3 linked regions of the Astyanax mexicanus genome follow. Each later gene encodes a partner of the first gene's protein in a complex. Links are inferred from orthologs where the notes say so. Each region holds a gene or a part of one and is shown on either strand. Other genes may lie near its edges. The genes, in order: taf8, taf13 and taf3.

Region 1 (10,496 bases):
CTTTTCTGAAACTGGAATTTTAAGGCCACTGTCAAGCCACCCAAAACAACACACAGACACTATTTTCAGTAGTTGAAGTGTGTGTAGTAATCGTACTATATGCAGAAAAACGAGTATTTTCCTGGTTGTCAGTTGTTTTGCTCTTTTTAATTAAGCAGGAAAAAAACATTAGAAATGCAGATTATTGCCCCCCCCAGTTATATAATGCTAAAAAAACAAGCACATACATGACACAGTCCATACGAGTGTAAATGACTATTACTAGTCCATACTGTTTATCAATATTTGGCAACCCAGGAACAAATAAAAAAAACTAACATGTAAAACTCATGGACACTGTGAAGCCTTACTGGGGTTTTGATGTATGTATGAGGGTCTGGGAACTCTGGGAAGTGGCTGGGGATGTACGCTGGATGAGTGCGCTTCTGTCCAGCCACCAGAGACTTGGGGATGACTGGGGCATTGGTTACTGGAGCTGATAAAGAGAAAAAACAGATAAGATTTATAGTCAAAAGAGTCAAATTCAAGAGTCACATTTATATTCCTATCTTATTGGGCTGCAACCAAAGGTGTGAAATTTATTTACATTAATTACACTGTAGGTAGAAGTATAGATACTAGTGTTTAATATACTTCTGTAAAAGTTGAAAAATCAACTGTGTAAAAGTGTACACAAAAGTGCTGGTTTTAAAACTACTTACAGTATAAAAGTAAAAGTAATATAAGTGGGGAAAAATGCCATTAAGGACAAAAGCTTAGGGTCCTATAGTGCACTACCCGCTTGTAGTGCATTAATACTTGCAGCCCTAATACATAAAAATAAAGAAAACAAAGCAAGACACTTACGTGCAGTTATGACCATCCTCTGGGATCTTTTGGCATACACTGGAAGTGTGTCTACATTGAATCCTACAATTATTATAAGAAAGAAAATGATATTTTAATATTCTATATGTACAAACCACTGTCCAGACCACTGTAAAAAGCTTATTATGAATACAAACAAACATATGCCTAATATAAGCAAGCAACTATACAATAAACAGAACAAAATAATACAATAATTAAGAATGTATGGTGAATATCTCTGAATACTGAATCTGAGCTTTGCTTTTTCCCCTTTGTAACGTTTCTGAGAAAACCAGGGTGAAGGATGATGTGGCCTCCAGCCTGCAACCCTTCAGACAGTGGTTCTGTGTTGTAATTTCAGACTGACCTCTCGCTGGAGCAGAACAAGTCCAGCAGGAGGACAGATTTTTGGTTTCAGTTATTAGCAGACAGAGACATTTGACAGGCCCTGGCAGCCAACAAAACCCTGCATGATTGCAAGTAAGGATCTGTGCAGCACAAATTAACAACATCTTATGATCTTATGTAAGTCAATCAGTGCTTGTCTCTTCAAGCTTAATATAAACTATTAAAAAATGTACAAAAATAGGCCTGTGCTAATGAAAACTGCTGCAATTTTTCAAAAGATAAACAAAAAACACACAAAAATAATAAAATAAGACACGACAGTTCATTAACAAACAAAAAACAAAATGTCATGGGACAGAAACTAGTTATCCTGCCAACATGTGTTCTGCCATGTTTCATGGAAGCTAAATAATGCTACACTGATCTGTGGCATATGCATGTGGAGTCTCCTGCATTAAATTTGTATATTGTTTCTGTCCAATGAAAAACTAGTATCTCCAATCTACATTTTATAGGAAAAAAACTAAACCTTTTTCATTTTTAATGGAAGTCAACATAAAAAAAAGAGTTAATTTCAGGTCATTTTTAAGTATTTCTAATAATTCGTTCATCGATAAATTTTGGCACATTGTAAGCGACAATTTGTCTATTCAAATTATGTGGTAAACTAAAAACCGACAAAAATGGAGACTTTGCTTTTCATTGGATAGCGACGACATAATTAAAGTCACACGTCTGTTGGCATGTTTGACAATTTGAGCCAGACACTGCCAGTCATGATCATTCCCACCCACTCCTCTGTCCACTGTGTGTTTTGAATGTTTATATTTAACTAAGACTTAAGCTTACCCATTTCCACCAGTGTGATGACCACGTCTGACAGTGTGGGAGTGCTTCTCGCTGTATGCTCACAGCTCGCCTTTGCACAGCGGCCTACTTCAGTTATATCTTTAAAAAAAAAAAAAAAAAGGTTAAAAATCACACAAATTTAGTACAGAACTACAGTAATCCTTTAACTACATAAGAAGAGTCAAATGAAATGAAATGAAATGAAATGAAAAGAGAAAAAAAGACACCAACTCTGTACAGGGCAACACATGCTCAGTCATATCAGGCTGCAGTTTCTCAATATGAGGACTTATCTACTGGTTACGAAAGTTGGTGCTGCTTTTTTGTGTCAATTGACATCATACATCTACACATTTTGAACTCAATTACTGAAATAAAGTATCTTTTCGATGATATTCTGTTTTTTAGATGCACTAGTATATACCTAAAAATCAAAAATGTGAACAGAAAAAAAATTAAAGTAATTTTCAAAAAATAAAACAGATTTCACAGGGCCCTATATACTGTATGACAAGTCAATATTGTAATTATTGTGACAGATTGGTGTGACAGAAGAATTTGACTGGTAGTGGTATCCCTCCTGAGTTTACTTACAGCTCTGCATCATTTCTGTTAAAGTTTCCACCGCAGCTTTCTCTGCACTCTCGAAGCCACATTCTGTCAACAGAGAGCTGACCACCACCTGAAGAGTGCGCCTCCGAGCCAGGTAGTAGTTCTCTGCAGGGCTCGTGTTCGACTTGTTACCTCCTGACCGCTGCAATTAAGAAGAAATATAATAAGGAACAAATTAATTTGGATAAAGAAAATCCAATGCATACTGGTAGGTAATTGTAAAATAAACCTATATCTGTGATGATAAATTATATGTGGTTAAGACAGAGTGCATTTATTTTGTTTTATATAGTTTTCTTTACATCAAATATGTTTGACGGTGTGGTCTGCTCAATAACCAGCATGCCGGAATGGCCAGCCTTTAAACCACCTTTACCTCTAAAAAGACCAGTTTAAAACACCTGAAACCAGCTATGCAGTCATGTTGAAACAGGAAGGGGGCATCCCAAACTACAGCGAAGTTGTGATAATCCAAAATCTCAAAAAAAAAAAAAAAAAACCTGCATCTAATCTCCCCTCCACCAAACTTTATGCTTGGCGCCGTGCACTCCTGGCAACCGCCAAACCCAAACACATGCATTGAATTGTTCTAGAACCCAATGGCAACTGTTTTACACAACTGAATCTGATGCTCTGCACTGTCCTTGGTGATGTAAAGCTTGGATAGAGATGCTCAGCCATGGAAGCGGTTGATTGTGGAGAAAGTTGCTGACATTCCCAATCGCTTAAACTTGTTTTTGCAAATGAGGCTCCAATACCAACATCCGATACCCAGTCGGGTACAGTTATAGTTATAAATAGTTATAAAATCCATAGTTTTTCATGATTATAGTAACACTGTTAACAATTAGTCAGCACAATCGACGCCGTTGGTTATAAAAAATTGTTGATGCATCGTTAAGGTGTGATGAAGCGAGAGAAAGATGATGCCTTCAAGTTCACCAAGAAAATTCCTATTTACGAAGCTGGAAGTCGTAATTACGACTTGCCATGCGTTCCAGTGTTTTTTGGTCCGGTGAAAATGGACCTCATTGGGAAAATCCTTTTGTTTATACTCTCATATAAAAGTGGTATATTTTTCCCTACTCCAAGAGAATGAAGCAAATAACACGCATTAGGTGAGTGGTGTTTTTTTCCCATTAGAACTGTAATTCATAGCAGAATTTTACGTTTTAATTTTTTTTTTTTTAAACCTGTAAAACTTAAAACTTTTGCTTATAAGCTTCAAGTTTTGACTGTTTACTGTAGGAGCAGGGTTCATACTGGCAGCCACCATGCCCTCTAGTTACTGACAGGCCCCCAACCGGAACACTCTTTTCTAAAAATTCGAGTTTCCTACTGGTAAATATGAGTTTTTGGTGGTGTACATGTGCTCTCACTTCGTAAATACGATATAAAAGAGCACATGCACGCGAGCACATGCATGCGAGAGAGGAAGACACACACACATAGGCTGCGTCCAGAAACTTTTGCTACTCCTCCTCTCCTCCTCCTTTCCTACTCCTCCTCTCCTACCCCGGAAGAAGGTGGAGGAATCGAGGAGAGGAGAGGAGGAGGAGGAATGGAGGGAAGGAGCTGTAATTGGGGAAATGGGACAGCTGATCCCTTTTAGATAGGATGTTGACTACCGTTGAACTGAGCCAATCACAACGCTCACTTTCAGCACGTTTCAGAACATTACTATCACACACAGCCAAAAATTCAGATATTCCAATAAAATCCTGTTTACTCCCAGCCGCATCTCTGACCAGTGACTCTGGCAGCCCTGTCTGACCTCAGCCTTATGAGGGATTCAGTTTCCTCATCAGTCCCTAAGTTAAAATAAATAAGTAAATAAATGAATTAATTAAAATTATATATATATATATATATTATAAATAATATATGTTTTTATATGTATAACATGATACACATAGGGTCATAAATATAGTTTTACTGAGCATACAGTTTATCTAAACTATAAATTATATTACTGCTTTACTGGCTGTTTAATTAGATAAGGAACCTAGTTAATTAATATGTTTATGACGTATATTTGGGCGTTGCCTTCCCCATTTTCGCGTGCTCTGTGGGCGTGGATGCAGTGATGTCATTAAAAAATCCTTAAAAGTCTTCCGGAGTAGGATACACTGATGTACCCTCCGTTGGAAGCCTACTACAGGTGGATTTTAAGCGGCTTCTTTCGTCTCCAACGGTATTCGGACAGGCGGCAAGATGGCCTCACGAAATCAGTTTCCGGGTCACGGAGGAGAGGAGGAGGATCGGTAGGAAAAAGGAGACACTTTTGGGGTTTCTGGACGCAGCCCTTGTGAGAGAGTGACTAATCCTGAGCATCCTGATTGGCCTTTCTTCATGCTTAATTGACCAATGAGGTTTCAGTATGGGTGGGATTGCAGCACGTGAGAGAGCAGGAGAGAAAGAACGGAAAAGACGCGCAGAGAGTGTAAAAGCAGCACTAGTCTCCATTAAACACAAACAAACACATTTAACTCCACACTATACTCTACAGTTTGTGTTTACTAGTTCTGTTAACTGCAAAGTTAAAACAGTGGCTTCTATATTACCCGTGGTTTAAGTTAAATTACTGCAGAGAGCTGCTGAGGTAAGTTTAAACAAGCTTCACTCCTTCATTAACATTACTAACATTAGTTAAACTAATGTCAGCTGGCTAAATGCTAGAGAGAAACTGTAACTTACTCTGTCCACTCCAATAAAATTAAGTTATGTGTTACTGTAACTATAGACTATAACAATACAAAAATTATTATTTTTTTTTAGACAAACAATCATTTCAGGGAGAAATCTCCTTGTAAAAAAAAAACGAAGAAAAAAAACAGTTACAATTATCCTATAACTTAATATCCTGAAAATAACATACAGTCTGTGTAAATGTTTCCTATAATATATTTTATGATTTTTAGTTTCACACACTTACGTTAAACTATCAAAATGTACTGCAAAATTTCTCTTTGGGCCTAAATGTTTAGCGGTCCTCACCAGTAATAAGTTATATATGGAGGGCGTGACAAAAATAATCGACTACTTAACCAAATAATTCGACTAATTAACCAAATAATCGACAGCTTAGTCGACTACTAAATCAGTAATTAGTTACAGTCCTACTGTGGAATATTGAAGGTTAGTAATGAGGAAATTCACTGAACGCCTAAGAAAGACCCATTCTTTTACTAATTTTTGTAGAAGCAGTCTGCATGCTTATTCAGGAACACCTGAATTTGATTGGTAAATGAAAATTTTTGGCAGTATAGCGTATTTTAATCTCTTATATTTATCCCCTATTTAAAAGTTAGGTTAGCTAACGTTATCTAGGCTGTTTTCTTTATATAATAATTGTAATAATAAAGCGGGTAAAAAGCGAGTTACCTCTCCTGTCAGCATGTTGAAGCTCTTCTCTGTGGGTCTCGCCGCTCCTGAATGTGTTGTTTTTAAAAGCGTTAAATACAGCTAGTTAGCATTAGCAGCTCGCTGAGCCCCGTTAGCACACAGTAATAATTTAGCTTAGCCTAGCCTAGCTAGCCGGTTAGCCAGCGTTCTAGCAGGTAAATGCTCGGGTAAATTTCAGCCCAGCCTAGTCTTTAACCCCCCGCTGCCTCTAACCGCGCTATCCTCCATCTCTTTACTTACATATTAAACCATCAACACTAATATCTGCTCTAAAATCCAGCAGGCTAATCTATATAAACACTGAGTTTAGCGGAAAGCCTCGCAGCTCCTCCGTTAGGGTTGGCTGCCTGAATAATAAGATAATAAAAGTCCCGTTGAGCGTTTTAATAATATTCCAAAATAAAAGCCTTAAACATCAAGCACTGAAAACTTACGACATAAAATCCTATTAAAATATTTAGTTTTTAAAGTTTCTTAATAAGAAAACAATATTGGAAAAAGATTATAACTAATACATTTTTAAGGAAGTGCCATAGAAACGTATTTGACACGACATAAAATATAGCTATATCTAGCAATAATATTATTTTATTATATCATTCATTCTGTAGCTAACACTTGGTTCAACCTTATTATTATGTTAAATAACTCTGCTTTCATTAAGTAGCATTAAGTGCCTTCATTATTCATTAGGTTGATAATAATTTTGTTTTTGTTAACATTATATTAAACTAATACAGCCCTAAAAAGCCATTAAAACTCTCTATATATATTACTATAAATAGTATATATATATATATTTTGTTTTAATGTTATTTTGTTGTGATCAATGGTATTTTCTGATATACAAATGTACATAGTATTTTTGAGTATGTGTCATTATAATATGGTGGTTTTTTTTTTTTGGTTTTGTTTTTTTGCATAAATGCCCTCTCTCTCTCTCTCTCTCTCCTTGCATCCATTAATTTCTCTGATTTGTTGTTTCAGGATTGTTCCCGCTGTCGGCGCTAACCTCGGGAGAACTGCCTCTTGCAGCAGCCTGGGTGGCATTTCTCACAAGGTTAGTGACATTTCAGTTTGGACAGGCACTTAATTATTATTATTTTTTAAATTATAATATAATATGAGAAATTTACAGGAAAAATAGTAATGAGGAAGGCCGGGGGAAGAAGGGGTAAAATACGGTAGTTTCCCTAGCAAAACAGGAGAACTCAACCCTCAAAATTCAGTCCTTTTCACAACCTTTCCCTGAATTCCTAAACAAAGAAAAAAAGAAGGGACACACTTTCAGGAAACTATACTTTATTCATTGGCAGTCAGACTTAAGCACATTCTATAAAGACTTTAATACATCCTGTATAAATAACGAACGTTCACCCAGTAGAAAATCAATACATCATTACATCATCTGATACGTAACATTTGATAACATGGAGCTTCCGATACTTCCAGCAACTTGCGCTGCTCAGCAGCATTCAATCCCAACAGACACTTTCCGTTTCCTCTCCGTCAGGCATGCGTAAGAATCCCTCAGTGCAAAGGCAGAACTCGTCTCTGTTCCAGGCTAAGTGCATGAGTACGTGTAGCGGCGGAGTGTGTGCTGTTTATGAGGCGTGTGCTCTGAAGCTCATGCGCCGCTGCCTGAGCATGGGTAGTTCCTTAGCCTTGGCTTCCATCTCAGCATCCATGTCGTCTGGCTCGGGGATGGCGGTCTGGGCCTCCTGGGCCTTCTCCGTCACCGGGACCATCTCCTCCAGCTTCTCTAGGACGGGCTCGTCCTGCTCGGGGAAGAGCGAGCAGGCCACCTCCATCATCCCGCTGACCATGCCCAGAACGGCAAAGGTGCCACCCACCAGGTAAATCTTCATGGAGCCCTTGGAGGGCCCTGCACTCAGCATCTCCTTGGCGAATGGGATGATCTCATGCATGGTCTCCATGATGTTGTTTAAGGTTGAAATCTGTGTTGGAGTCTGTGAGGAGAGAGTGGAAAGAAAGTACTGAGGTAAGTACTGTGATTAAACATCCTGATCCTACTAACAAAATTATGCTTTTTAAACATTCCTCTAACGTTATAAATTATAGTTTGTGGGAATGATTTTTCCTAACATTGAGGGAACTATGAACAAGTCTTTGTAATATTTTTAAAACGTTCCATGAACATCACTGTGGATATGATTGGATATGACATTAGAGGAACTTTAAACAAGGTCTTGAAACATTTTTTGAATGTTCTTTGAAAGTTACTGTGTGAACAATTTTTTTAACATTTAAGGAAGTTTGAACAAGGTCCTGAAACGTTTTATATAATGTTTTCTCCTAACATTTGGGGGAATTTGAACATGGTCTTGTAATGTTTTTAGAACATTTCATGAACGTTATTGTGGGAACACATTTTCCTTACAGTTTGGATGATTTTTCCTAACATTTGGAAAACTTTAAACAAGGTGTTGAAAGGTTTTTAGAATGTTTAATGAAAAAAAGTTATTGTAACATTTTTAGAACATTCTATGAACGTTGGGGAAACTTTGATTAAGGTTTTGTAATGTTTTTGAAATTTTCCATTAAAGTAATTTGGGAATGTTTTCTTTTACCATTTGGGAAACTTTAAACTAGGTTTTGTTATGTTTTTTTAGAACCTTTTAAGCAACTATTTTTTCGAACAAGGTCTTATAACATTTTTTTAATGTTCCATGAATGTTGGGAGATCTCTTTTTTAAACTAGGTTTTGTAATGTTTTTGAAAGTTACTCTAGCAACAATTTTTTCACATGATCTCGTAACATTTTTAGAACATTTTATTAATGTTATTGTGAGAAAGTTGTAGTAACATTTCCAGTTAGATAATAATAAGGGCTGATAATATTAAGTGCATGCATGCATTTATTAAATATAGATAGCTAATCAATCAACAAGGTAAAGAATATCAAGTGTTAGAAATTAGAAAAACTAAAATGACCAAAGTAAAACAGTAAAATCATACTTACTTCCAAAACCTGTAGGTAGACCCTTCAGCTGATAACTCCTTATTCGTCTCTCTTCAGGAATTAGTAGGCGACTGACTAAAAGCTTCACTCCCTATTTAAGGACAGTGCTATCTGTTGCCACACCCACTAAATATGAATATGTATGAGCAAACCCTGCCAACATGCTTGTGCAAGTTCCTGTGTTGCAGTTTGTGCCAAGTCAGTAGAGAGAACTCTGCTCAAGCGTCCTCATCTCCTGATCACGTGACCAAAACACTGGATCTTCCTCACTGTACGTGAGTGATGTGGGCATGTGAGATAATTCAATGTTCCGTACTGAAGAACTTGATGAGTGTGTTTGTAGTCCACAGTTTTACAGCAGAGTTCAGGTTTTAAAAAGTAAATAAGTTATTTTCTGTTTACTTAACATGTTTCTTTAATAATCATAAAAATGAAAAACACAATAGAATGTCCCTATATTATTTTTTGTTTTTTTCTTATTCACAGGAAACTAAAATTTGATTGGCTGACTGACATTTAAAGATCTGTCAACACGTTCACCTACATTCATATAAGGAATAAGGAACTGGTGTATAAAAACAACATAATTACTATGAAAGGCTCTATTTCTAAATAATTTTATTTCTCTTGTTTCAGTTCCTCTTCATTCTTCATCAGAAAGTTATTACTATAAACAGTACCAGTCAAAAGTTTGGACACACCCTCTCATTTAATGTTTTTCTTATTTTCATACATTGTAACTAAAAACTAGTCATCCAGAATACTAATTATTTTTTTTACTTAGTTGAGTAGTTCTTGTCATACTATGAATTAGAACATTACTCTATAAATAGAGCTGTTCACTGTTTACCTGTAACTCTACCTCTAACTGATGCCCTCAAACTAACATTAAGAGACAAGAAATTCAAATAATGAGTAACTCTTGATGAGTTCAGCACAGCTGTTAACTGAAAGCCTGAATTCCAGGTGACTCTACCTCTCATTAAGCTGACTGAGAAAGCAAGGGGTGCCTACTTAAAAGAATCTAAAATATAAAACATATTCTGGTTTGTTTGACACTTTATTTGATTAAATAATTCCATATATTTTTCTTCATAGTTTGGATGACTTTTGACTGCTACTGTATTTGGGGGGTTGGTGTTGCGGCAGTGCTGGGGCATCACCCTGCTGGTGTAATTACTTATATTTGGCGGCATCACGTACTATATGACAGTTGGTCACCCCTAGTAGTTATACAAGGGACTAGCAGCTCAGTGATCTGGGTGAGCCATGCAGCTGCCATGTTTCAGCATGCTAGTGCTCAGCCAGGTGGAGTAAGGGTTTCTCAGAAATGTCTCTACTAGATTGCAACACTTCCATAGACGTCCATTTAATACTTCAATAATTTCTGCTTTTTCTTTATGCTGTGAACCAGCTCATCCCAAATCACCTCAAATCACCATCTCAGTTG
Region 2 (9,622 bases), about 30 Mb from region 1:
AAGTGCGGGCTAATATACAGGCCTAGAATGTTTAAAGGGTTAGTAAACAGTATTTATTATTAAAAGTGCTAAGAAAAATAAAATGGGTCTTATTATATTTGTTTGTATTAATAATTTTTTTCTTAAACCTAATTTTTACAAAGTCTGACAAAATCTGAGTCTGACATTCACCAATATTATCTAACTTGGCATTTGTTCAGTTTGAATGAACAATAAATCTGACAAAAATTGGACACAAATTGGTTGGACAATTCTCCAAAACAAATGTAGAAAGAAACTTCGTAGGAATATATTGGTAGATACGGCCTGTTATTATTACACCCAGCATTTCTCATCATCAGGATTATGACAAAGAAATATGGTTGTATAAAGTGAATGATGGTATATTTTAATCATTGCTGTTGTGTGGGTTGTCAGACTGACGCACAGCAGGAGGCCCGCTCCTACCTGAGCGAGGAGATGCTTGCTGGTGAGTGGCTGTATTAACGAATGAATTAATCAGTTCTAAATGTGTACTGTAGTGTTTGTTTGATGTATGATGAGATTTTTGTTTCTTGCAATAACAGAGTTCAAGGCTGCCTTTGACATGTTCGACACTGACGGTGGCGGTGACATCAGCACCAATGAGTTGGGTACTGTCATGAGGATGTTGGGTCAGAATCCAACCAGAGAGGAGTTGGCTGAAATCATTGAGGAGGTGGATGAGGATGGTAAGGACTTGGGGACACTTGTAAAAACAGCATGTTGATTATACTACTGTCTATATAAGTAGGTCTAATGCACTATGCGATATTACTTTAGCGAAAATGGCTGTACACTTCTTTTTGATCAACCTCAGGCAGCGGATCCATTGACTTTGAAGAGTTCTTGGTCATGATGGTGAGGCTCCTAAAGGAGGACCAGGCTGGCAAGAGCGAGGAAGAGTTGGCAGAGTGCTTCCGTGTATTTGACAAGTATGTCACGACTCACTGATATAGACTAGGCTTCTCCAGATGAATGGTATTTATTCAATGGATGATTGACCTTGCATTTCCTGGCGGTTTCGCAGGAACGCTGATGGCTACATTGACAGAGAGGAGTTTGCTGAGATCATCCGCAGCACTGGCGAGTCCATCACAGAAGATGAGATTGATGAGCTGCTGAAGGACGGAGACAAGAACGCAGATGGCATGCTTGACTTTGACGGTATGACGGCTTTTATGTCTAAGAATGTCATTGAATATGCAGGGGTTATTGTTAGTATTAAAAACTCTTATATACACTGTGTTGGCAGTACTGTAGTTTTCTATGAATTATAGTCAAGTATACACGCTTGTATAATAATACATTATTATTATGATTATTATGCTGTGGCTAAATATTGTTGCACCAGTTTAATGGAGGACTACAATGCCTTTATTTTTCAGAATTCCTCAAGATGATGGAGAACGTGCAGTAAAACAGAGACTCATGGACATTCCTCCCCCCTTTGACCCCCTGTCAACTCAAGCCCATTCTTTCAAACCTACTCATGCCCCCTTTTACCCTTTTGCCCACCATCTGCTCCGTTGACTCTCCTTCTTCATCTCAACACAGCTATGCCGCTTCAACAGACATAACAGACAGACACCTGGGTGGGGTCTGCCAAGGTTCAGCATGCAAACAATCATGATCCTGGGGTACGTTTAACCCGCATGTTCCTGGAAGAGCCAAGCTGTGGCGTCTGTGGTGCCAGTACATCAAAAACACGCACCACGCCATGGTGGACCCCCGCAATGCTGGGCGTTTAGTCGAGATTTAGACTAGATCAGCAGGCAGCTTGTTACCGCTGCTTAGACCAATGCAACAACCTCTCATACTTCATTGTATTTAAGATCAAACGCTTGAAAGAAAGTACAGAATAAAAAATAAAAGACATGCTCGTGTTTAGTTGGTCTGTTTAGTCAAATCTGTATTTGGTTATGTTCTGAGGAATTCATCAATAAAGCTTTTTTTTTTTTTTTCGTTTTTCTTCCCCAAGTCTCATTGACCCAAATAAGGATTGAGATGACTGGTCATTCATAATATGGTTGTGCTTCAGTTTCATCAGTCAACCCATATGCGAAATGTCTATGTAAAATGGATGAGAAAAAAAACGTAAAATCTTAAGATGCTTGAGAATAATGTGTGATGATTGCTTCCTTCTTAATAGGCAGGTCACGCTCGACCATCTCGGGCTAATTCCTTGCTGCATTGTTGTTGATTCAATATGAATCACTTCACAATATAATTATGCATTTATTGTTCATTCTTCAATCAGAGGTCTTGAGAACATGATTGCACATATATCATGACCGTGGTCCAAGTGTTACACTGAAGTGTAAATGTTTGATTAATTGTAGTAACTGTAGTATTGCAGACACCACCAAAATATCTTGCTTGAAATAAACCCTGTATTTAGTTGTGCACAGATAGCAAATTCTCCTGCTAATCAGAGCATATATAATTTTTACGCATTATTGCAGACATCATTATTTCGCTATTGCTGTCTTTAATTTTTATTTAGAGTCTTAAATTTCAACTACTTCGTAATATGGCAGTGCTCTGGAGAGAACTGCTAAATCTTTTGTATGACTTTCCAAATATGGGCACATATAGGCAGTGTCCAAAATAAAAGGCAGCTGCCTCAGTGCCTTGCTGCCTATGCAGTCTCCTATAGTAAGTACCTTAGAAGGCAGAACTATGATGAGGGTGCTTCAGCCAGATTGTGTTTGAGATGCACTTTAAATATAGCAACACCATGAAACTGACATGACTAGTGGTGTAACTAATTCTAATCATAAAGACATAAAAAGCCAAAATACTGACGACAACTGATAATTTGGGTAAATAATTGTAAAAAACGTACATTTGTTACGTACGTATTTCTGCTGATTGCCGCGTGCTTGGGTCATGTTCGCAAGTCGAGGCAGCTGTAACCCAAAGAATCATGGGTTATGTAAGATACATCCATGCTGCCTTTACAATTAAGCAAAAGGTACCATAACAGACAGTTTTTTTAAACAAGTGCTTGATTCCATACCTTTTTTGTCTCCAAACACTGCCTGAGTAGATGTAATTTATTACATTTTAAAAAGAGCCATAGTCATTAATATAGTACTGTGGGAAAGTTACATATGACACCTCCTATTTAATTTTAACGATGGTCAAAACACTGCCTCTAATAAACAGCACAAAGCTTTCATCTTATAGAAAGCAAATGTCAAGATCTATTTTTAGTACTAAACTGAAGTAAAAAAAAGTGCTGGGCAATACAAAAAAAACATCAATATTTGTCGAATATATGATTGATTCTTGATTGCGATTTAGATTTTAAATTCCTACACAACTAGTTTTTTTATTTGTAAACAGAGAGCACTATTTAAAGTGATGAGCAAGCTATTGTATCCTTTACACTTCATTTAGTTGTTTTGTTTTGTTATTTGTACAAATAGTTAGCAGACCTCTTCAACATTACAGCAGCTTTTATATTAGACAAGTTGCAAACGTAACCTTCCTGTATTACAGTTTCTGACAAGTGTAAAATATGACAATCTCTGCCACATAATACTTTCTTGTTTCTGACAGAAGCAAATATCTATCTACTGAGATTTACTCTGATGTTATATAGATGTACTACACACAGAATGATCTATTTTAAGCATGTATTTATTTTATTGTTGAGTCAATGAAACACCAAAAAACAGTCTCAAAAAATGTATTATATTATATAAAATCAACTGGTACTTTATATTACACAAAAGGCAGCCAGCACCAGCAGATGACTTGGCGCTCAAAACTATTGTTGATCATGAGTAAGTTTTACATTTTGTTAGGAAATCAAGGAACCAGAGTCTGGAGGAAGAGTGGAGAAACACACAGACCAAACTGCTCGAGGTCTAGGGTGAAGTTTCCACAATCAGTGATGGTTTGGAGAGACATGTCATCTGCTGCTTCTCTCTGCTGATAACTTTTATGGAGATGTGGTTTTCTTTTTCCAGCAGGACTTGGCACACTGCCAAAAGTATTTATTAGTCTTATATAATATTCTAATGTTCCGTCACTGATGTTTGGGTTTTTATTGGCTGTAAGCAGTCATCGCCAACAATAAATTAAATAAACACTTAAAATACATTGTGTGTTTGGAACAACTTAAAAGGAAAGAAGTGAACTCCTCTACTTCAGGAGGAGGTTTGAAAAAAAATTAATTACAAGACTTACAAATTCTAAGTGTTTTTCAAAAAGAACAAACGCTAAAAAATGAATAAAACATCTGCTTATTTATTTGTTGATGGTTCTGTTTAATTTTCCACACAGGTGCCGGAAAATGTAAAAACAAAACAATTGTTATAACAGAGCTGCAATAAATTTGAAGATCAATCCCTGCTTTAAAAAAATCCAGATAAGAACCAGCTGGTCATCCAGACCTATGTTGGTAGTCCAGCTGGTCTTGACCTGTATTTTTAGCAGGGATTACTTTTGCACAGTGCTTTATACAATCAGCCTACAGAAATTAAAACTTTACTAGACCTGTTCCAACTTTAATTCAACCAAGTAGGTCACCTTAAACATACAAACAGTTAAAGAAAATGCAAAAACAACAGGAAAAACGCATTTTATAAGAACCGGACATGTTTGTGAAACGTGCTGACCAATATACCAGCACAAAACACTGAGTTTTTAAGTCGTTTTAAACCCAGCAGTGGTAGAGAAACCACCACCACAGACTGTTCGTGTGTGAGAGACAGTTTAGGACCCATAGTTGGCCTCGTCGAAAGCCTTGCGAGCTCTCTTCAGCTCCTCGTTCATGGTGAGCAGATCTTTCACCCTGGCGAACTTTCTCGGGTCTTTTCTGATGAGAAACACGATGTCCTCCACCTGGACGCGGCCCTGCCGCCCGATGGACATGGCTTTGTGGGTCATCTCCGTGATGAACTCGATCACCAGGTCCTCCAGGATGTCCACTGACTCCGTGTAGGGGTTCTGGTCGTCTCCGAAGCCGTACATCATGCAGCGCAGCTCCTTAGAAAACAGCCTCTTTCTCCTGCCGTGTCCTGAATCCACACCGTTTCCAACATCGTCCAGATCTTCATCAAAGCCCGGATCATCGTCTTCCTCAGCCATGTTTGTGCTGCGGCCCGCAGTAGCGCTGAAGTCCCCTACTATCAACCAGAAACTCAATTCAGATACGGCAGGACACACACAAACACACACTGTTCAGACTCTAACTGTTATCCGTATAAAAAAAACGTAAGCAGTTTCCTGAATATGTAACTTACTTATGTAACTTTAAGCGCCAACCAGCTACAGAACCTTTTCTCTGGCGTTACAGCCACAAACACACACTTCCTCTTCTACTAGGACTTTACGAAGCTCTATAGAAGCACTGCTGCCACCTAGAGATCTGCACACAACTGCATCAACCTGCTTCATACTGCAGGAAAAAAAAGAAAAACATATATACAACTCTGAAAAAGAATAAGTGATTTGCTATTTATAGGTATACGTTTGAATAAAATGAACATTGTTGTTTTATTCTATAAATTACGGACAATATTTCTCCCAAATTCCAATTACAAATATTGCCATTTACAGCATGGATTTGCAGAAAATGAGAAATGGCTGAAATAACAAAAAAGATGCAGAGCTTTTAGATCTCAAATAATGCAAAGAAAACAAGTTCATATTCATAAAGTTTTAGGAGTTCTGAAATCAATATTTGATTAAATAGCCCTGTTTTTTATTCACAGTTTTCATGCATCTTGGCATGTTCTCCTCCACCAGTCTTACACACTGCTTTGGATAACTTTTTGCTACTCCTGGTGCAGAGATTTAAGCAGTTCAGCTTGGTTTGATGGATTGTAATCATCTTCTTCTGGATTTTATTTCAGAGGTTTTCAATTTGGTAAAATAAAAAAAACTCATAATTTTGTGACAATAAAGTATTTTTTTGAACACACTCATTCAAAATAAAAAAATCTGATTATGCTTATTTTCTACATTGTAATAATAATAATAATAATAATAATTAGTATAATAATAATAATAGTTATTAGTATTATTATTATCTATTTATTTATTTTTAGAACCTCCTAAAATTATATATATGTATTTTTAATTAAAAATAAATCTTAACACGTGTTTGGCGGCGAGTGATCGCTCGCAGCGCCCCCTGCAGTATTGGAGTAATGTATAAATATTGACGAAGGGTGTTTGCTGAAAGCTTGAATTGTGATCTGAAAAAAATGTTTTGAACAAAAAAAATTAATAAAAAAAAACAGCCTTTTAATACCAGTTACAGTTTAATTACAAGTTCACCAGCTACCACACTAATTACCAGTGTGTGTAGTGTGTGTAGTATAGGCTGTGTGTTCGGGCCACATTTCCCGGGGTGCACTGCATGTACACGTCAGAGGAGCGTGGCCGCTGCTGCTGCTGCTGCTGCCAGACACCAAAACAGAACGGAGTTATATATATACCATGGTGAATGAGTGTAGCGGACCCTGATCACCTGAGTAACTATACATTACCATTAAATCATCACTATCAGCAGCCCGAGACTCCATACTACAGGAACAGCTATGGTAACATAGCTCTTTACTAGGAGTACAGTCTGTAACTGGAGGGAACAATGTTAACCAGGTAAGAGAGTCTGAACACTGAGGTTTAGCTGGGTTAGCTGTTGGGTAGCGGTGGGTTAACCAGGATAATGGACAGGTTAACTCTAGGTTACACTGTAAGATGTTGATAGTTAGTTAGTAAGGTTAGCTAACTGGCTGCCTGTTTATCTACTTAAACACACAGCTTGTTTTCAAATGGACCTGAAGGACAGGTTAGGGCACGTGCTGCTCGTTCTTTGCATGCTAGCTATAAGTAACCTGCCACATGACTTCATTAGTATTTAATAGTCGTAATATGGTCTATTGTGTTTATTTGTATATTTGTTCACATAAATACTCCATACACACAGTAGGATTAATTAAAATGCTTTTTTATGGTATTATATTATATTAAAATTTATATCAGTAGCACTTAATGGCATTTAAATTTAGGGGAGTCTCATAGTCGGAAAACATACTTTCATACAGCTCGGGAAAAAAATAAGAGACCAAAAAAGAGTTAAAAAAAAGTTTCTTTGATTTTACCAAATTGAAAACCTCTGGAATATAATCAAGAGGAAGATGGATGATCACAAGCCATCAAACCAAACAGAACTGTTTGAATGTTTGCACCTGGAGTGGCATGAAGTTATCCAAAAGCAGTGTGAAAGACTGGTGGAGTAGAACATGCCAAGATGCATGAAAACTGTAAAACATCCAGCTTGAAATCCAGCTTGTTTTATTGCAGCAAGTATATGTATGTTTTTACTATTCTTGTTTTTTTGACTGACCCTTAATATGTCATTGTTTTGCTAGGTAGACGTCTCATTCCTGTCTGGGGAACGTGCAGAGCCTAGTGTGTGGCGATGGCATGGCCGGTGTCGATCATTTGCCGGGCACTCCGCAATGTGGGCTTGGTTCTTTTCTACTATGTCTTCTCAATAGGAATCACTTTCTACAACAAGTGGCTCATGAAGGTGAGGCAAATTTCTCATTTCACGCTCTTATTGTAGATGGCAAAGACGTCAAAGAAATTATTTGGTCAGATTTACATGGTTTACCACTTTGTGGGTTGCGAGTGTTGAGTGGGGAAATTTGTACTCATAAAATTCTTTCAAGGTTGGCATGCCTGTAATTGTTGTGCACATTGTGGTCTAGATTTAAAAATTAATATTGTTATTCAAAAAAATGTGTAGCAGAAATTTGTTGAGATTTGTGCAGCAGCAGTAAGAGCAAAAACTGTCCCTGTCCTGTTGCTACTGTCCCGCGACACTCTCCTACTGTCCCGCGACACTCTCCTACTGTCCCGCGACACTCACCTACTGTCCCGCGACACTCACCTACTGTCCCGCGACACTCTCCTACTGTCCCGCGACACTCTCCTACTGTCTCGCGACACTCACCTACTGTCCCGAGACACTCTCCTACTGTCTTGCGACACTCTCCTACTGTCCTGCAGAGCTCTTTAACTGTACCGCGGAGGTTTTTAACTGTACCGCGGAGGTTTTTAACTGTACCGTGAGGTTTTTAACTGTACCGTGGAGGTTTTTAACTGTACCGCGGAGGTTTTTAACTGTACCGCGGAGGTTTTTAACTGTACCGTGGAGGGTTTTAACTGTACCGCGGAGGTTTTTAACTGTACCGCGGAGTTTTTTTTAACTGTACCGCGGAGGTTTTTAACTGTTTTAACTGTCCTGCAGAGCTTTTTAACTGTCCTGTGGAGCTTTTAACTGTGCCGCAATGTGATACATTGTGTCTTATGAGACGACTTAAGACTTATGAGATAATTCCCCTAGATTTGACCATCAAATCTATTATATAATATTTCCAGTGTCATAATACAAAATATCAAATATCAAAAATAGTATGACTTTAAATTAATAACTAATATGGACACAGGTAACGACCTTGTTCATGTCTGCACACACATTACATGTGTATTTAGCCTAATCTCACAGTTATCACACTCATATATCTCTTTTATATTCTATATCACATTCTGGTATAATTATATTTTTTATTATTCATTTTTTTCTGATGTGTGTGTACTTATGTGTGTCTGTATATAAGTTCCTGGAACAGTCTAATTAATAAATTATTTTTTTTTTGCTATATTCTCGTTTATTATTGTTTATCTACATTCTATTAAAGTCTAAATTAGTCTAAATTAAGTCTAAAAGTCTAAATTTTAGTTAAAGCATTTGCACAGCATTTTGCTTATTTTTTTCTTGGTAAATTTTCTTTAAAAATAATCAATAAAATCTAGGTGTTTGCGTTACACTTAAATTCATAAATCAGTCATCATAAATCACCATCATGAAAAAAAACGTATGTGCTTGTTTTGGGCTCTGAATTACTTAAATAATGTAAAATATCATTTCAATTGCTGATATTTAGATTTTTGCAGTGTAGGTATGAAACGATTTCAGTGACACCGTTTAATTTGTGGTCTTTTGATAGAGCCTATTCTATTGCTTATTACACTGTTTTTCAATCCTGGTCTTTAAGGGCCACTGCCCTGCACATTTTATTAATTGTCATACTTTGACAGCCCCACATTAACACAATAATTGACAGCTGATTGTCTGGTGTATTGGAAGCAGGGACAACTCCAAAAACTGCAGGACAGTGGGCCTCCTTGGCCAGGGTTGAGAAACACTGGCCTATTCCATCAAAATCCCATCACTGTGTATTTGTATTAGTTACAATTAGGGTTGTGCCGATGGACAATATCATATTATTTATTATTATTATATTATTATTATATTATTATTAAGATATAATTATTTATATCTAGGTTACAGCTTGTCTTCGTTTTTTTTCTACATGTCTGTATTCATTTTAAACATTTCATGTTATTCACACAAATATAATACGCCTGCTAGATTTCTATTATTATTACAAAAATAATTCACATATTTATTGATATTTAATCAAGAGATATCAGGCAAAATGCGCTGCGCCGTGCCTCTCTCTCTCTCTCTCTCTCTCTCTCTCTCTCAGCGCGGAGCTGAATTCAGAGCGAG
Region 3 (10,496 bases), on another chromosome or scaffold:
AGGGATCAAATACTTCTTGGACTCACTGTATGTGTGTGTGCTAAAATATATTTAATTTTCATGAGGACACAATTAATCAGAAACAATTATACAATTACATTAAAATAAAACCAAAATAAAACTTTTCCTTCTGCTTGTTTGTTATTTGTGATGAACAGATTAGAGATATTCATTACTATCTTGACTACATGACTACATTTTCTGTATATTAGTGTAGTTAATATTATGCACTCATCATTACACACGTACAGTTCTGATTGGTGTAATACAAGACACATGTAATATCTAAGATGTATGCGACTGAAATCTCTATCTACAGGGCATCTACAGACATGGGGAAATAAAATGTAAGACTTTCAGAGAACACTTTCATAATAAGAATACACAGCACCAAAATAAGTTTACATAGTTTTCAGGGAACCTAATATTTTAAACAAAACTACATTCACAGTTTTGCACAAACAAACAAAATATATATATAACTGTTCATACACTGAAAATAGGGTGCTTTGCAAAATTGGGGTCATTCAGCTGGTTATGGATAAATGTATGTATCCTCATCACTTAATTCATTCTGCCATTAAGATTTATCAATAACCAACTGTATGAAAAAGATGAAAAGAAAGGCATCTCCTGAGAAATTACTCTTTACATTCTGTTGGTTATTGTTTTTTTGGTCACTATTTAGTGACCTCTGGTCTGTGTATCAATAATGTAAATGCAGTCTCTTGACTGTACACTAGATGGAGCTCCAAAAAAGAAGTTGCTAATAAATGAAGTACCGTATATATATTATGTGCTGTGTAGTTTAATTTTAGAAGTACTTACCTTCCTGCAGAGAGACAAGTGGAGGGAAGTATTCTGGGATGTAGTCTCTTCTCTCTCCTCGCAGGGCGTTGCGGGCGTCTGTTTCGAAGCCGGCAGCAGGGAACTGCAGCATGCTGCTCTTGGTGATTGGGAACTGAGGGATCTGCTGAGAGAAGGCCACTGGCTCCAGTTGGTTGATGTAGTCTTCCAGCTCTGCTATGTTCACCCCCATCAGTCCAAAGGCCCGGTCCACATCACTCAGAACGGGGTCCGTGCGTCCATCTACGGAGGGAAAGAAAGCACAATGTGGTGAAATGAAAAAAATGAAAATATTGAGTAAGGCCTGTCACAGTAAAAATTGTTATTGAATCCTTATACAATACATAAAAATGAGAACCAGTGCAGTCCCATTCTCACAGGTCAAATAAAAAAATAATAATGCTGTATATCTGTCAGATGGCAGACTGCACAAACAGAGCACAAAACAGATAAAATGAAAAAGTGTGTGATTAAAGCATTCAACAGGACTTTATTTTCATTCTTAGGGATTATGGTGTTAAAATGTCAAGTCCACAAAGATCATACAGACATAGAAATCCTTTTGTTCCTGGTGGGTGAAGGCAGTGTGGACCACAAAGGAAATAGCATCCTCTCTTGATATGTGAGTAGGAAAATGCAGAACTTGGAAGTAATAAACCGCCCACAACCACACTCATACAACATGGCAGCTGACATAAACGGATATATTGACAGCTGAAAGGACAATATATTCATTTTTATAATTTTGCAATTATTCACATCCATGGGACACACACTCTTAGTGTCACCCTTTTTAAATCTATTAGCACCTTCACTCACTAAAGCCTGAATTATATCTTTATTTAATATTGAATAGTAAACATTAAAAAAAAAATTTGACTGTCTCTGAATTTACAACACACAGTGTGGGTCCAGGATTATGCAGCCTATTAAATATTTTAAACCATGGTTCTCCGGAGGGAGTGTGTCTTTATGTGAAGTATACAAATAAAACAGCATATAAAACAGTATGTAAATATATACATATAGAATAAACTTAATTAAACATAATGTCAGTGATCAGTGAGAGTATCTATCTTTAATTAACTTTATATAACAACAGAATAAACCCAAATACGCATAGGGTCAGTGTTTAGTTAGAAAGTTTACATGTAATTAACTCTATATAACATTAGAATAAACCTAAATAAATATAAAGTCAGTGTTTGGTGAGAGTATCTACCTGTAACTAACTCTATATAACATTAGAATAAACCCAGTTTACATCCGTGGTTAGTGAGTGTCTCCCTGTAAAATTTTAACTATATAACTAATTATATTTTGTATAACAAATTCGCTATAGACCAGGGCAAAGTGGACAAGTTCATCCATACAGATGCTCGCTAGTTTGCGAGCTACCTTTATCTCTATGGCAACAGCCAGCATCAGCATCTTAAGCTCAAATATAGCATTAGACTTTACCGTTTTTTTTAGAAATATTTAAACTATATAAAGGCAAACAAATACATACAACACATTGCCCCTGCTTCAACAAACACCTCTGCCCTGCAATACCTGAGATTTGCTGTTTAATTAAGTTAATTCAGAAGCACGTACGTTTCCCCGCTAACTTTAGCATGCTAAATTAGCTACCATGCTAGCTAGCAAGCTAAGTATATAAATTACCTAATACAATATATTATAACGAGCAAATGTCAACCGCATGCATCACGAATTAACCCAATATCTGTCAATTTGTCCAAAAAGGTTAATTAAACACACAAAACAGGCACAACACGCGACTCTTTGGCCGCTAGCATATCTCACGTTAGCCAGTTAGCATGTTAGCAGGCAAGTTAGCTTAGCCAGCAGGCTAACGATGTAAACAGTGCGAGGCTAGGAAGTGTAAGAAGGGAAGTGTGCCTCAAAACAGCTCACTATAATACAATATTTGCTGGAAATATGAATATATTCACATTATATATTACATTAACGTGTTTTTCTGCTTCAGTTAAGCCTACTAACTTGACTTTTTGTTTATTTATTTTTTTACAGAATATTCATGATTGACTGCTTGGGTTGGCAATTTTAGCTACTATAGTGATGCTTGAAAGTTGTTTAACACTTTGAGGTTTTCTACTTATATTTTCAGAATAAATATTATGATATTATCAGATTTTCATACACAAGTCTAAAAAATGGATAAGGAAAACCCAACTATATTTGACTCTTTTTTATGAAGGGAAAACTATCCAATATTACATATCTGTGAGTAAACTAGAAGTCTATATAACATTAGAATAACCCAAATAAACATAAACTCAGTGGTCAGTGAGAGTGTCTACCTGTACTTACCTCTATATAATATTAGTATAAATCCAAATAAACATAAAGAAGACATTTAGTGCAAATATTGCTAACATACATTTTTTTACAGAATATTAAATATTGTGACTGCTTGAGTTGGCAACATCTTGTTAAACACCTTTAGAAGTATTTAAGTATATTTTCAACACAAATATGACCTGAAACTAGATAAGTAGAACCAAAGTAAACAAATGAGTCCAAATATCTAACTCAGTCATTTATTTATTATTTATAAATTACATATCTATGAGTGGCACAAGTATGTAAACCTTTGCTTTCTTCTGCAACAATAACTGTGACTAAATATTTTCAGAAATGGTTGTTTAGTTCTGCACATCAGCTCTAAACAATTGTAGTCCATTCCTCCATACAGAGCAGCTTCAGCCCTGTTATGTTGGTGAGTTCTTTATTCCAAAAAAATAACCTAATTCTTTAATATACCAAAAACCAACTGTTTTTGGTATATTATAAGTGTGTTTTGGACCATGTTGTTGCTGCATAACCATATTTGTTTGATATTTAGATCACAGACAGACGTCCTGACACTAGTTTAAAATTCCCTGTTCGATCAATAATGGCAAGTTCTCCTGGGACAGATGCTGCAAAACAGGCTTAAACCATGATACTACCAACATGTTCCACAGTTGAGATTTTTATACAGGAAGCCAGTGCTTTTCTGTCTCAAAACACAACACATGTAATTTAGGATCTAGCTATTTTGCACCAATTTATCCACAAAAATAGCCTTCTGGCTTGTCCATGTGATCTTAAGCCAACTGCAGATGGGCAGCAATGTTCCTGTGGGTGAACAGCTGCTTTTGCCTGGCATCTTTGCCATGCACAGAATTGTTGTTCAGTGCTCTTCTGATAGAAGACTAATGATAATTAACACTAACATAATTTGTATACAATGTGAGAAAGGTTTAGAAGTTGCTTAGAAGTAATTTTGAATCCATTGTGACTTTGGGGACTATTACACACCTTGCACTTGGTGTGATCTTTCTTTGTGGATGCTACTGGGAGAGGTAATGATGTAACTGTAATCTATCTGACTGTGGAGTCCAAACATTAGAGATGTTATTGAAACAATTTCAGCTTGATGTGAATCAACAATGCTTTCTCTGATGTTCCCAGAATTCACCTGTTTGTGGGAGATGATGCACTTCCATAAACATGGGTGGTGAGGATCTAAAACCTGACTCAATTTTTTAAACTATCTCCTAATCCTAAGTGTTTACATAGTTTTACTACACATATACACTATTGAATCATTGTCCTCAATAAAAACATGACCAAGTGTACTATATTTAGCCTCATGTTTGATTTGGTTCTACGTATCTTACTCACTTTCAAGATTTAGGACGTTTTAGATCAGACTTATGCAGAAATGTATGATAAACAGCTATATAGAGCTTACTCAAACCTATAAAAATGAAGAACTATTATTTAACAGACATTTAAGTATTAAGTTATTTACATTCACTGAGATCTGCTCTGCAGCTTTGGTGCACCAGTGTTCCCAAACAGAGGAGCAGGAAAAGCATAATTGCCTGAATTTCAACATTTTAACCTGTTTCTTCACACGTACAGAGCTAAGAGAGCTTCTGAATGCAGTTTTATTACGAACATGTCTCCATTAAAGCTCCAAAACAGTCAGAACACTGACTACCCTAGTGCTAGCTACCACCTGGAGCCCAGGCGCACACTCAAAACATTGGCTCCAAGAGCTGATAAATCAGTATTCTTGCACTCAAAACTCCACATAACACACCCCTAAGCCCTATTTCACATGTGTAAATCCCTTATTTCTACTCACAGAGCTCGGAGTAGCGGTGGCAGCCCCGGGCGAGCTGCTGCAGGTACCGCTCCAGCAGGTCGGAGAGCAGGTCGCAGGCGGAGAGCTGCACGGCGTCCCAGCCCAGCGCCTGGCAGACCTGCGCCACGGAGACCCGCAGCAGAGCGCGGGCATAGCTCTCACACATCTCTCAGCCCCGCCGAGCCGGACACGGCATATCCCACACCACAACAAGCCGCTAAAACACGCGCTGGACCGGCCTGCTGCTCCTGCTGCTGCTGTTTCTCCGGGCTGCTTCAGATCAGGAGGTCGGTTAGCGCTTCCATAGCAGGCGCCATCATTCACTCACTCAACCGATAGTCGAGTCATCGATTCCACGCATGCGCACAACACACACACAAGACCGTTCGCGACTCGATTATGTGCGGGATCATCTACACGTCCTTAATTTAAAAGCTCCCAATAAATAACACGGATAAAAAGTTCTCAATAAACAAACCAGATAAATAGCTTCCAATAAATGAACCAGATAAAAAAAACTCAATAAATAAACCAGATAAAAGGTTCCCATACATAAATCTAATACAAATGTTCCCAAAAAAATTTAAAAAACCTTCCCAATAAATTAACCAGATAAAAAACATTTCAATAAATAAACGGAAAAAAAATCTTAATAAATAAATTAAGAACTAAAGGAATAAAAAGTTCACAATAAATAAAGCAAATAAAAAAGTTCTCAATAAATAAAGCAGATAAAAAGGCTCTCAGTAAATAAGCCAGATAAAAAGTCCTCAATAAATACACCAGATTAAAAAAAGTTCTAAATACATAAACCAGAATGAAGGTTTTCTATAAATAAACCAAATTAAAAATGGTTCTAGTAAAAAAAGTTCCTAATAGGTTAACAGGATGAAAATAGTTCCAAATAATAAACATGTTTTTAAAAATCCAATAAATAAATCGAATAAAATGTTCATCTTAAAATAACGGATAAATAAGTTCCCAATAAATAAAACAGATATAAAAAATCTGAATAAAAGTGACGTTTAAATTACTCATTTACATGGAAAATTGTGTACATTACACACACATGGAATATGACATGTATTTAAACAAAACACAGAACTTTATTACTTATATTCCCTATATAAATTGTAGTAAACTATTGAACATATGTGATGAATACTATTTAGGCACATGTCAAATATGCCTTTAAAATATAACATTAATAATTATCCATTAAAAGAGTTTGTAGGAGACATTAAAAGAGGTTAAACTCCCCACCAGCCACATTTTGTTAAAAAGCGTTCTTTAGCTTTCATGGGACACAATGTTAGCTCCTGGAAGTTTAAATGGTCATCATCTTAAAGGGGTATTACTATTTTTTATTTGGCTCTGGATTGGGGACTTTTATTATAGTTGTTTAATACTTGTACACATTGCTCTTATTATTTTTTAAATGTGTCTAAAGTTGTAGACATCAAACCTATTTGTATATCTGCGCTGACCATCATTACAACATCAGACAAATAAATAATGCCAATTTATTAATGTTAAGTTTCTGTTGCTAATGTACACATATGCTTACATTAGCAACCATAATGTAACCATATGTAAGCACACTTAACCCCGTCACACTCATTCCTGTCACATTCAACTTTTCACACTCAACTCCATTCCATTAAACTCTGCCACATTCAATCACATTCAACCTGATCACATTCAATCCCGTCACACTCATTCCTGTCACATTCAACTTTCACACTCAACTACATCACATTTAACCTGTCACACTCAACCTCGTCACATTCAACCTCATCACACTCAGTCCTGTCTGCAGAGGTCAGTGAAGCATTATTTCGCTTTCATGGGACACAATGCTAGCTCCTGGAATTGAAGTTTAAATGGTCATAACTTTAAAAGAGCATTACTTTTTTTTATTTGGCTCTGCATTGGGGACTTTTATTATAGTTGTTTAATACTGGCTACTGCACTCCACCAAACTCCAAATGCTAAATCTAGATGATGAACAGAACTCTGGGACACGTGCAGGAATGGGTCAGATTAGCATGCATAAAGCACCTAACCACGATGGATCCAGTTGCCAGCAGGTGAATAATGCATGATTTGCCATCTGGCCAAACAAACTTTCCCCCTGGCGCAGTGCTATCAGTCAGGGGCCTCTCCCAGAGCCGCGATCAGCGACCCCAGAACTCACCCTTACTAAAGTGCAGTCACTCAACACCAGCACTGCTTCACATGCAGGCGTCACCCAAGCCCAGGCCGCCATGCCCGACTCGCTGCTGTTTATTAGGATGAGGGGTCGGGTTGCAGGGGGATAATGAGGAGGCTAAACTTGTTTTGATTGCCAATTATTATAAAACAACAATGGAGGGGCCGCGGAGGCGGTAGAGTTCATCAGTAATCAGTTCAGTGTAACTTAACCTGCTTTAATCAAAGAGCGCTGGCTGAGTGGTGGGAGAAGCTCACTGATTGGATTAAACCAGAAAGCTATTTTTTTTTTTAGGTCAAGCCTTTCCTTATATTAAGGAGGCTCCCTGTATCGATAACCCGAGTTAAGTCGCAACAATGGAGGAAAACAAATACAGTACAGGATTTTGTCATCTTACAACCACGAACATTAATGTATTTTATTGAGATTGTGATAAACCAACACATAATTGTAAAATGTTACAATGATGCTCAGCAGATGTTAGAGAAGCTAGGTCAGGACTTTCACTGGGCCATTCTAACACATAATTATTAACTAAATATATTGGCTATATGTTTAGGGTCATTGTCTTGCCGAAAGGTAAAACTGGTCCCTTTACAGTCTCAAGTCTTTTGCTGCCTCCAACAGGTTTTCTTTCAGAATTTCATTGTATTTGGCTCCATCTGTCTTCCCATCAACTCTAACCAGCTTTACTGTCCCTGCTGAAGGAAGCTTACCCACAACATGATGCTGCCACCACCATGTTTCACAGTTGGGTGCTGTATTCAGAGTAATGAGCAGTGTTACCTTTTCGCCACACAAAGCACTTTGCACTTTGTCCCAAAATGTAAACTTTGATATCGTTTGATCACAGGGACACATCTTCTTCCACATGTTTGATGTGCCCCCTACATGACTTGTGGCAAAGTGCAAAAGTCACTTCTCTATGAACTAATTCAGTGACTTCTGAGGGCAGTTGACTGCACTGGGTTTTATTTAGGGGTTTGAATACTTTTGCACATCACACTTTTCAGATTTTATTAGAATACATTTTTGAAAACCACATATCATTTTTGTTCCCTTTGTTTTGGTCTACCACTTCAAATCTCAATACAATAGGCCTACATTTAAATATGTTGTTGTGTGGTGACAAAATGTGAAAAAAGTTTAAGGGGTATAAATACTTTTGCAAGCTACTGTGGGCTACAATAAACAACAAAATATTGGAACAGCAGCTCATTCATGGTTTCTTCTGAAATCAAGGGTATTAAAGAGTTTGTCCTGCCTCTGTTGGAGTAACTGTCTCTACAGTTTAACAAATGCTTCCTTCTAGATTTTGGAACATTTCTGTGAGGATATGAAAGCAAAGCAAGTTGTGTGCATCTGCACATCTGTATCAGCAGTAAGTGTGACCTAAAAAGTAGCTGAATGCAGCATTCTTTAAAAGGGATATCCAAAAACATTCAGACATATAGTGTAAGTCCTTTACACTCTCCCCTAGTCAAGTTATACGCTGAATTATTGTAATAATAATTATGGAACAATTTTGAAGATATAAAAGGATAGGATAGTATATCAGCTATAACATTAACCTGCCGGTTAAGTGGATAATACTTAAAAATTTAAGCAAGAGAAGTGTAGGAATTTGTGACACGTTAAGACATGTTCTAGATCAAGAGTTTCCAAACCACTTAATCATCTGTAAGATGCTCCATGGCCCCCCGCAAAATACTTAATTTACCATCAGATTTGTAATTTTCTGCTCTTGTGCATGTAAAGCCTAGTGCTAGGGACTGTATTTTATAATTGTTTAGATTTATGTTTGCTGTTCTTGGTTCTCTCAGTCAGAGATACAGTAACTACTTCACATAAAAGATGATCAAGTTTCAGGGTCTTTTGTCAGGGTCAAAGTTTTTCACCATTTATCCCTAAAAGCAATCAACGAGCTTGACCTAAAATGTTTTTTTTAATAAATAAACCATTTAAATTAGATTTGCTGAATTATCTACAGCTTTTTGAAAACCTGGAATATAATTCAAGAGGAAGGTGGATGATCACAAACCATAAAACCAAACTAAACTGCTTGAATTTTTGCACCAGGAGTGGCATAAAGTTATCCAAAAGCAGTGTGTAAGACTGGTGGAGGAGAACATGCCAAGATGCATGAAAAGTGTGATTAAAACCAGGGTTATTCCACCAAATATTGATTTCTGAACTCTTAAAGCTTTATGAATATGAACTTGTTTTCTTTGCATTATCTGAGGTCTGAAAGCTCTGCATCTTTGTTATTCTCATTTTCTGCAAATAAATGGTCTAAATGATTATTTTTATTTGTAAATAAAAAAGAAAAATAACTTTGACCTGTGGTACAATCTTGAAAATTTAAAAGTCTAATATAAAACCAAAGTTGTCCAAAGTCAACTTCTTCAGTCAGAACATAAACAGTTTGAGGACAAAAATGAGACAGGGGCATTTATAGTGGAGGTCAATGTAAGAGGTTTATTTACTCATATCTTACAAACAGAAGCACAAATAGTATTTAACTTGACGCCAGATCACTGAACTGGAACGCATTCTTTCGCTCAGAACCAGAGGGGTGGTCCGGATGGGTCCTCTTTATCTGTGGAGAGAACGAAAAGACAAATGAATACTTTGACACAGTGAATCACATGGCTGTTTTTGTTTACCTACTACTAGGGCTGCAACACACTTCAGAATAAAAGTCTGAAAAGCAGAACAGGAATAGAATATAAATTAGAAATACAGCTGCAGCAGGTGTGTCACACAGCAGTATGGGTACAACAGATTACAGGGCTGGTGATTTCTGCACCTACTGTAACTGTAGATTAACCCTTATTTCTAAACAGAAAAGAAAAGGAATCAGAGGGGAATCTATTACATGCATTCTGATGCAGGACACACCCACACTCGAATAGAGTCTAAATGTGGCAGGGAGGCAGAATTCAGCACAACACCTGGTAAATCAACTCGCTACTTGACACAATCTGGAACATGACCTTCTACGAACCAGCCAGGATGATTTGTTGATGACACTATGTAGTAAAGTTGTTTAGTGCCCTCAGTCACTAAATTGCAGTATGAAACCAAAACTAACCGGACTAAATACAGTACAGAATACAATGAAACACAACACACACAAACCTTAATTCAGACTTTAAAAAGAGATCTATGCATAAATCATACATAAAATGTGTGTAATATCGACTGACATTCATAGCATGGGGCTCACAGTTCCGTGCAAACAACACATTCTATTATACAGTATTAAGGTACATA

What was found.
Region 2: taf8 (region 1) and taf13 share a complex: the UniProt entries of both Homo sapiens proteins name them as parts of the TFIID basal transcription factor complex. The link is inferred for Astyanax mexicanus from reciprocal best matches to the Homo sapiens genes TAF8 and TAF13.
Region 3: taf8 (region 1) and taf3 share a complex: the UniProt entries of both Homo sapiens proteins name them as parts of the TFIID basal transcription factor complex. The link is inferred for Astyanax mexicanus from reciprocal best matches to the Homo sapiens genes TAF8 and TAF3.

The regions. Positions count from the first base shown.
Region 1 is NC_064420.1:4,725,837-4,736,332, reverse strand, and holds the start of taf8 (transcription initiation factor TFIID subunit 8), read right to left. Parts: upstream 6,423-10,496; 5' UTR 6,058-6,422; coding exon 6,043-6,057; intron 2,801-6,042; coding exon 2,641-2,800; intron 2,146-2,640; coding exon 2,047-2,145; intron 910-2,046; coding exon 847-909; intron 476-846; coding exon 351-475; intron 1-350. Other genes in the region: g0s2 (G0/G1 switch protein 2), read right to left, coding at 7,668-8,000. UniProt on the Homo sapiens protein: The TFIID basal transcription factor complex plays a major role in the initiation of RNA polymerase II (Pol II)-dependent transcription.
Region 2 is NC_064420.1:35,139,356-35,148,977, forward strand, and holds taf13 (transcription initiation factor TFIID subunit 13), read right to left. Parts: upstream 5,415-9,622; 5' UTR 5,277-5,414; intron 5,160-5,276; 5' UTR 5,122-5,159; coding exon 4,747-5,121; 3' UTR 4,259-4,746; downstream 1-4,258. Other genes in the region: troponin C, skeletal muscle, read left to right, coding at 418-469, 567-710, 839-953, 1,049-1,185, 1,407-1,438; slc35c2 (solute carrier family 35 member C2), read left to right, coding at 7,463-7,573. UniProt on the Homo sapiens protein: The TFIID basal transcription factor complex plays a major role in the initiation of RNA polymerase II (Pol II)-dependent transcription.
Region 3 is NC_064409.1:21,101,538-21,112,033, reverse strand, and holds the start of taf3 (transcription initiation factor TFIID subunit 3), read right to left. Parts: upstream 5,356-10,496; 5' UTR 5,175-5,355; coding exon 5,009-5,174; intron 1,090-5,008; coding exon 829-1,089; intron 1-828. UniProt on the Homo sapiens protein: The TFIID basal transcription factor complex plays a major role in the initiation of RNA polymerase II (Pol II)-dependent transcription.